Linked DNA regions of Caenorhabditis elegans. The protein of the gene in region 1 purifies or fractionates together with the protein of each later gene. This does not show direct contact. Each region holds a gene or a part of one and is shown on either strand. Other genes may lie near its edges.

Evidence for each region.
Region 2: the proteins of grd-10 (region 1) and H39E23.2 fractionate together in Caenorhabditis elegans (co-fractionation; one large-scale study listed by BioGRID). This does not show direct contact.

What each region holds. Positions count from the first base shown.
Region 1 is NC_003282.8:3,439,408-3,442,655, forward strand, and holds grd-10 (Ground-like domain-containing protein), read left to right. Parts: upstream 1-1,647; 5' UTR 1,648-1,770; coding exon 1,771-1,849; intron 1,850-2,003; coding exon 2,004-2,233; 3' UTR 2,234-2,434; downstream 2,435-3,248. Other genes in the region: grd-13 (GRounDhog (hedgehog-like family)), read left to right, coding at 1-10; grd-3 (Ground-like domain-containing protein), read left to right, coding at 272-314, 373-689, 740-925; F09D12.2 (Peptidase_M13_N domain-containing protein), read right to left, coding at 2,896-2,976, 3,020-3,190, 3,230-3,248.
Region 2 is NC_003283.11:14,108,219-14,112,673, reverse strand, and holds H39E23.2 (T20D4.11-like domain-containing protein), read right to left. Parts: upstream 2,333-4,455; 5' UTR 2,314-2,332; coding exon 2,140-2,313; intron 1,880-2,139; coding exon 1,775-1,879; intron 1,554-1,774; coding exon 1,377-1,553; intron 921-1,376; coding exon 813-920; intron 767-812; coding exon 647-766; 3' UTR 628-646; downstream 1-627. Other genes in the region: H39E23.3 (Neurofilament heavy polypeptide-like), read right to left, coding at 2,623-4,455.

The DNA.
Region 1 (3,248 bases):
CAACGTTTGAGTGACAAGATACCGACGATTCTTTCAAAAATACTCCTTACTCCTATTACCTTTTGATGTTTATCTTTCTGTAAATAAATGTTTACGAAAAAAACTCTTGACCTCGGCACCAAGGCACAAACTGGGCAATCAGCGGCGCCGATCTTCTTGAACGGAAGACACAAACATCCCTTATCGCGCGACACTCATCGAGGTCATCGAAGGTCTCACTATAAAAGGGACGGCGCCGGCGCTGGAAGGATCAGTGTTCAGCTCGGCAGCGATGAAGTTTCTACTCCTTCTTGGCGCGGTTATAGCCGTTCGAGGTATTTTTTCTGGAATTTCAACACTTTCAGTACACTTTCACTCCGTGATCCTTTTCAGCCCAATCCGACACATGCCCATCACTCAAGGATCGTCAGCTTGCCAAGCCTGGCCAGCTGTTCTGCTGTGATAGCACCATCAAAACCGTCGTGGAGACCGGAATGCAGACCCTGGACCTCTTCGGAGCTGGTGGACCACAAACACTTGGACCAATCGTTCAGGCGCTAAGCACCTTCGTTCAGCAACACTTCAAAACTGCCTATGAGATTGTTATGGCTCCAAAGGACTTTGTGCTCAACACACACTACAATGGCACCAGTCTCTGCAAGTTCCAGTCCAACAGTTACACCTTGGCCATCTACGAGACCCCAGCTAAAGTAAGTTTATTAGATTTCAGAGAGATCCGGCTAATTCTTGAATCTTTCAGTACGATATCAACAGCTCCAGAGAAAAGTACTTCAACAAGTTCGCTCTCAACGACAAGCTCCGTCTGCCATCAGTTTCCAAGCACCTCAAGCAATTCTCCGGACTTGCCAACACCGCCACCGGAGGACTCAGTGGATCCGCTGGATCTGTCGCCGGCGGCCTTGCTGGAGGATTCTTCGGACGCTAAGACGTTGCAAAATGTGTGCAAGTGGAACCATTGCCTGCTGTAAAATGAAAAACATTACGGGGATCGTCATCTTTTTGTCGCTGAAACCAGATTTTTTATGAATAAAGCATTTAAAAATCATATATATTGTTATTAAAACATTGTTGAAATATGCACGGATCAGGTGTGCCTTCTTGTGTTCCAAAAGGGCCCAGAGTCTTCAGAAAAAGGCTTTAGAAGTGGCCAAGGACTGATTAACTTCGAGCATCTCATGGTGGATGGAGCATCATGGAGGATCCAGGATGGAGCTCAGAACCCGAACTCTATGGAATCAGCAATTTGTAGTTTCAGAGCATTGTACATCGGAGAAAGCCCGCCGTCTAAATCCCAAAGCCTTTAAACATCTTGTCGTGGACCTTTTAACTTCTGGAGCCGAGCTATCTCCACTACAGACTGGGATTAATTTTACTCTTAGGATTAGGCTTAGGCTTTGTGTTTGGCTCAGGTTTTGACTGAGGCTTAGGATTAGGGTGACGCTTTTTTAAAAATCTTTTTCTGAAGAAAAGTGCACAACATCTCTACCAAATTTCTTATTATCTTTTAAGTTTGATCAGCTATTTCTTAGATTTGTTTTTAAAGACCCAAATTCAAAAATCGCCTTTACGTTGACACTTTAACCTTGAGGACCTACTCACAATCTGATCTTGAAATAGCGCCGCCCCCGGCGAAAAAATTCCAAAGATAATCATCAAAGCTATTTTCCCACTACTCGCCGTACCATACCTATCTCGATTTCGCATCTTTTACTATATAAGGACTGTCCGCACAGTTTTGAGCCTCCTTGCAGCGTCTTCAACGTCTAAAAAATGCGCTCTCTCGTCGTGCTAGCCGCTTTGGCCGTTACTGTTTGCTTCGCACAGGACAATTGTTATATTAATGAGGGAGGTAAGTAATTATGAGGGTGTAAGCCTAGGCTCAGGTTCAGGCTTAGGCTTAGGCTTAGGTTTAGGCTCAGGCTTAGGCCTAGGCTTAAGCTTAAGCTTAAGCATAGGCTTAGGATTAGGCTTATTATAATTTTAATTGACACGGACACTTTCAGGCTTCACATGCTGCAACAAGGAGCTCGAGTCCGTCATGAAAAGCTCGTTGGGAGGAAGTGACCTTGTCGGATCTGCCGGGGACATTCAAAAGGGAGCAGAAGGGTCGTTGGGTGGAAAGTTCGAGACCGTCGTTGCCCATGATGATTTCGCCTACAAATCTCACTTCCAGGAGGGAAAATCGTGCAAAGTCGAGAAGGACGGACAGTATGCACTTGCCTGGCAGCCATAAGTTCTTGTATTTTGTTTTTACTGGTTTCAGCGACTTTTTGACGATCTTCTTTTACCCTATCTCAATATTTGTATACCCCCCGCAACTATTGGTTCAATTTGGCACATTTTTGTATAAAAGAATTTTTAAAAAGTTTTTCGATTTGAAATGTATTCATTGATGGTTTGGTTGAAATATGTAGGTATGAAACTTCAAGCAGAATTAGAGAATTCCACTAGCAGTGTCTGGATCTTTTTCGAAAATTTATGAAAGTCTCCGAAGCTTTTTAGAAGCATATTATCGACTGAAACTATTAAATGGGCAGTAAAAATGTTAAGTAGAATAAGAACTTCGTAGTTTAATAGTTTAGTAGTTTTGTATAGTTTCGGCAAAAATGTCAAATTTTTCAAACTTCTCAACTCGAATATAAGTCTTTTTTTTCAAAATTTTGATTTATCATAACGTTTTTTGAGACAATTTCATTCCAAAATTAGGCCGTTTTAGGCCATTTTAGGTCTGAAAATGCAGTCTCAGATTTTGGTACTCCACCTTTAATGGCAACTACCAACCATTATCAAACCATTAACTTTTGGCAGTGTTAAATAAAAAATTTTATTTGCAAAATCTCAAGCTTCAAACGTAAAATTATAACTCTTTGCGGTGCCCATCAAATCATTCAAAAATCAACCAACGTCCTCCGTTTCATGTTTGATCTTATAGTCTTCCAAGTTTACCTCGCCACCCAGCGGCTTACAGAACTCTTCCTGAAATATCACTTATCATCCAGAATACATCCATCAGTTTTACCCGCTTAGCAAACATCCGATCACCGGCACGACATCCGTAAAGTGAGCTGAATAGTGGATATTGACGAACAGCGGTGTTGAGAGAAAGCTCAAAGGGATGATGATTGCGGCATACGGTGTTTTTCGGTTTGCCTTGGACGCACAAACTACTCATGATTGTTTCCAGGGAGAGCTGAAATATTAGATATGCCTAGTTGATAAGAGGTCTTACCTGCTTTTCATTTGCAGAT
Region 2 (4,455 bases), on another chromosome or scaffold:
AGTCATTGTAAACTGAAATTCAGAAATTTATGAAAAAAGCAGCGATTTCAGTGAAAAATTGCTGAAATTAACTTCTGTTCAATTCGTCTCCTCCTCCCAATTCAACAATCCCCCTCTTCCAGTACGGTTTTCTCTTTTTTTTTTGGATATTTTCAAATTCATCGTTGTAGGTGATTGCTCCCCCCGTCCCCCTACCGTATCCTTGTTTTATAAAACCTCTATTTTTGTGTCTTCATCGTCGTCGCCGCTTCAAATTGCATTTTTCTTTTTCAAACCCATCGTTTCATATTTCGCGCCTTCCCCCCGATGATATAACCAATCCATCTTATCTTATAAGTTTTCTCGATATCCCATTGATTTAAATATTATTATAATTATTATTCGATTATTGACTACTCTTCTTTTTTTAAATTTTTTTTCTATGTGTCTTTTAGGGTATTCATCGCGTTTTTTCTTCCTTTTCTTTTTTCATATTTTATTTTTCTCCCTTCCCACCCCAGACTACCCATAACTTACCGTAGTCCCCCCTGTCCCCATATAATTCTCCATACAACCCTCACAACATTTTCCCTTGTCTCCGAAACATTTGTTTTCCTTGCGCCCTCTGTGATGATCAAATGAAGAATTGTAAATTATTAAATGTTTATTATTCTATTTCTACAGAACTTCCAACTAGATCCGTCGCATTGTGATCCTTCAAATCTTCCATGTCTTTGAACTTCAATCGCCCATCGCAACCCAAATTGAACATACGAGAATCTTGATGCTGGAACGGATTTTAATTTTAAATGTAGAATAAATATATTGGAAACCTCTTTAAATATCGGTAGAAAATTCGGTTCACAGTAATTTTTAACGTCCGGTAGAAGACAATTTCCTAAATCCTGGGCTATCTCGCAAGTCCATTTCCTTGTCGGAGTCTGAAAATAGGACGTTACAATTGCTTTTTTAAATTTGGGAAAATGTGGGGCTTCATTGGGTCTCACCACGATCTCAATTCTGCGAATTTCACAAAAATACACAAATTACTATTAAACATTTTCAAAATACCGTGATGAGTAATTGAAGGCGCACAGGTTTATTTGGATGGGTCTCGCCACGAGAAAAATTTCAAATAACAAATTTTTTCTCGCGGCGAGAACCTACCGAATAAATCGGTGTGTTTTTAAGTGCAAATATCAGAAAATGGAAAAATTACAATATCGTCCGTTTGCGGAAACGTGACAGTAAGTGATAAATATTCCATAATAAATTCATGTTTTCTCTGTACATTTCAGAAATTGACATTTCAAAAACTCCACTTTCCACATCAACTACGCAAGTATCTAAAATTAGGCACAAATCGTGGTGAGACCCACTCAGATAAATGCACTCACCGCATCCAAGTGTTCCTTCACGCAAGACGATAACTTGTCTGGGAAATTCTTTGCAACATCTCTTAAAGTAGAATAGCAAAAGCTCATTGGACCAATATTGAATGCATCATGAGAGCATCTATCCAATGTCTCAAATAGGACAAAGTCCTTGTAGCATTTTGTATTTTCCATACAGGTCTGAAATAAGACGTGACTCAATTTAAATTAGTTGTTCAATCATTTTAAATTAGCCAAAAACATTGTTGAATTTCCGTACTTATACGATTGCTTTGTTAAAAAAACAATATCTTCTAATGTCGGTGCAAAAACCGCGGAGCGGTTAATTTATTTCGGTACTTCATCAATAACATTTCAATTTTCATCAGAATAAGGTTCCAGAAAAGTACTCATGACCTTACATAATACTTATCACAATGTGCTGTCAATTCTGTCATATTCCACGTTTTCGTTTGTTCGGGATACCAAGAGATCGATGTTCTTCGGAACCATGATTTCATTCCTTCCTGGAAAATGGAAATTATAGAGCTTTTTGAATTGTTTGTTTTAATAATTATGGGTCGAATTTAATTTAGTTAGATTACTTTTAAATTACTGTATGTAGGGTGTTGTGTTACAACAGCGATACACTTACAACAGTTAACACGAAATTGCAATTTTGAACTTTTGAAGCTCAAAACTAGCGATATTGTTGATGTAATTCAATTCTCTCGCAACAAAATTTGAAAGATTCATAACTATTTCTATTGTCAAATGGAGAACGAACCCAGAACCAGCACCGACTAACTGCATTCCTTCCAACTGGATCATCCTGTTGCAAACAGGAAACTTTCAGACGATTCTTTTCATACCAGTCATGTCTATGTCCAGTCCGGAATGCACATTTCAAAGAGGGCACAAGTAAAAAAATAAGAAATATAATAGTTGATGAAAACTTCATTTTTTGAATATGAAATCTTCGAGGAGAGTGGAGAAATCGGATGCCAAAAGATTGGAAATCAAATGTTAAGAACAGCTGTTTTCTTGAAAATTTGATGTAAACAGCATGATGAATCTGACTGAAAATGAACCTGAGCAATGGAGAACATAGATTAAAAAGCTATTTTCAATTTAGTTTGTTTGTATTTTTCGAAAACACTACAACGTAGTTGTGAAAAATGAGTTTATTACAGAACTATATGCACAATAACATTTCATACATGTTTTTATTAATTCAAAAGATACTTTCTCGTCGAAGTTCCATATCGAGTTAATGTGGTAGTGGAACCTTGTCAGCAGATTCAGTCTTTGGCTTATCAGCTTCTCTCTTGACTGGGGCCTTCTTCTCAGAATCAGCAGATTCAGTCTTTGGTGGATCAGCTTCTCTCTTGGCTGAAGCCTTCTTCTCGGAATCAGCAGATTCAGTCTTTGGCTTATCAGCTTCTCTCTTGGCTGGGGCATTTTTCTCGGAATCAGCAGATTCAGTCTTTGGTGGATCAGCTTCTCTCTTGGCTGGGGCCTTCTTCTCGGAATCAGCAGATTCAGTCTTTGGCTTATCAGCTTCTCTCTTGACTGGGGCCTTCTTCTCAGAATCAGCAGATTCAGTCTTTGGTGGATCAGCTTCTCTCTTGGCTGGGGCCTTCTTCTCGGAATCAGCAGATTCAGTCTTTGGCGGATCAGCTTCTCTCTTGGCTGGGGCCTTCTTCTCGGAATCAGCAGATTCAGTCTTTGGTGGATCAGCTTCTCTCTTGGCTGGGGCCTTCTTCTCGGAATCAGCAGATTCAGTCTTTGGCTTATCAGCTTCTCTCTTGGCTGGGGCATTTTTCTCGGAATCAGCAGATTCAGTCTTTGGTGGATCAGCTTCTCTCTTGGCTGGGGCCTTCTTCTCGGAATCAGCAGATTCAGTCTTTGGCTTATCAGCTTCTCTCTTGACTGGGGCCTTCTTCTCAGAATCAGCAGATTCAGTCTTTGGTGGATCAGCTTCTCTCTTGGCTGGGGCCTTCTTCTCGGAATCAGCAGATTCAGTCTTTGGCGGATCAGCTTCTCTCTTGGCTGGGGCCTTCTTCTCGGAATCAGCAGATTCAGTCTTTGGTGGATCAGCTTCTCTCTTGGCTGGGGCCTTCTTCTCGGAATCAGCAGATTCAGTCTTTGGTGGATCAGCTTCTCTCTTGGTTGGGGCCTTCTTCTCGGAATCAGCAGATTCAGTCTTTGGCGGATCAGCTTCTCTCTTGACTGGGGCCTTCTTCTCAGAATCAGCAGATTCAGTCTTTGGCTTATCAGCTTCTCTCTTGACTGGGGCCTTCTTCTCAGAATCAGCAGATTCAGTCTTTGGCTTATCAGCTTCTCTCTTGGCTGAAGCCTTCTTCTCGGAATCAGCAGATTCAGTCTTTGGCTTATCAGCTTCTCTCTTGGCTGGGGCCTTCTTCTCGGAATCAGCAGATTCAGTCTTTGGTGGATCAGCTTCTCTCTTGGTTGGGGCCTTCTTCTCGGAATCAGCAGATTCAGTCTTTGGCTTATCAGCTTCTCTCTTGACTGGGGCCTTCTTCTCAGAATCAGCAGATTCAGTCTTTGGCTTATCAGATTCTCTCTTGGCTGGGGCCTTCTTCTCGGAATCAGCAGATTCAGTCTTTGGCTTATCAGCTTCTCTCTTGACTGGGGCCTTCTTCTCAGAATCAGCAGATTCAGTCTTTGGCTTATCAGATTCTCTCTTGGCTGGGGCCTTCTTCTCAGAATCAGCAGATTCAGTCTTTGGCTTATCAGCTTCTCTCTTGACTGGGGCCTTCTTCTCAGAATCAGCAGATTCAGTCTTTGGCTTATCAGATTCTCTCTTGGCTGGGGCCTTCTTCTCAGAATCAGCAGATTCAGTCTTTGGCTTATCAGCTTCTCTCTTGGCTGGGGCCTTCTTCTCGGAATCAGCAGATTCAGTCTTTGGCTTATCAGCTTCTCTCTTGGCTGGGGCCTTTTTCTCGGAATCAGCAGATTCAGTCTTTGGCTTATCAGCTTCTCTCTTGGCTGGGGCATTTTTCTCGGAATCAGCAGATTCAGTCTTTGGCTTATCAGATTCTCTCTTGGCTGGGGCCTTCTTCTCAGAATCAGCAGATTC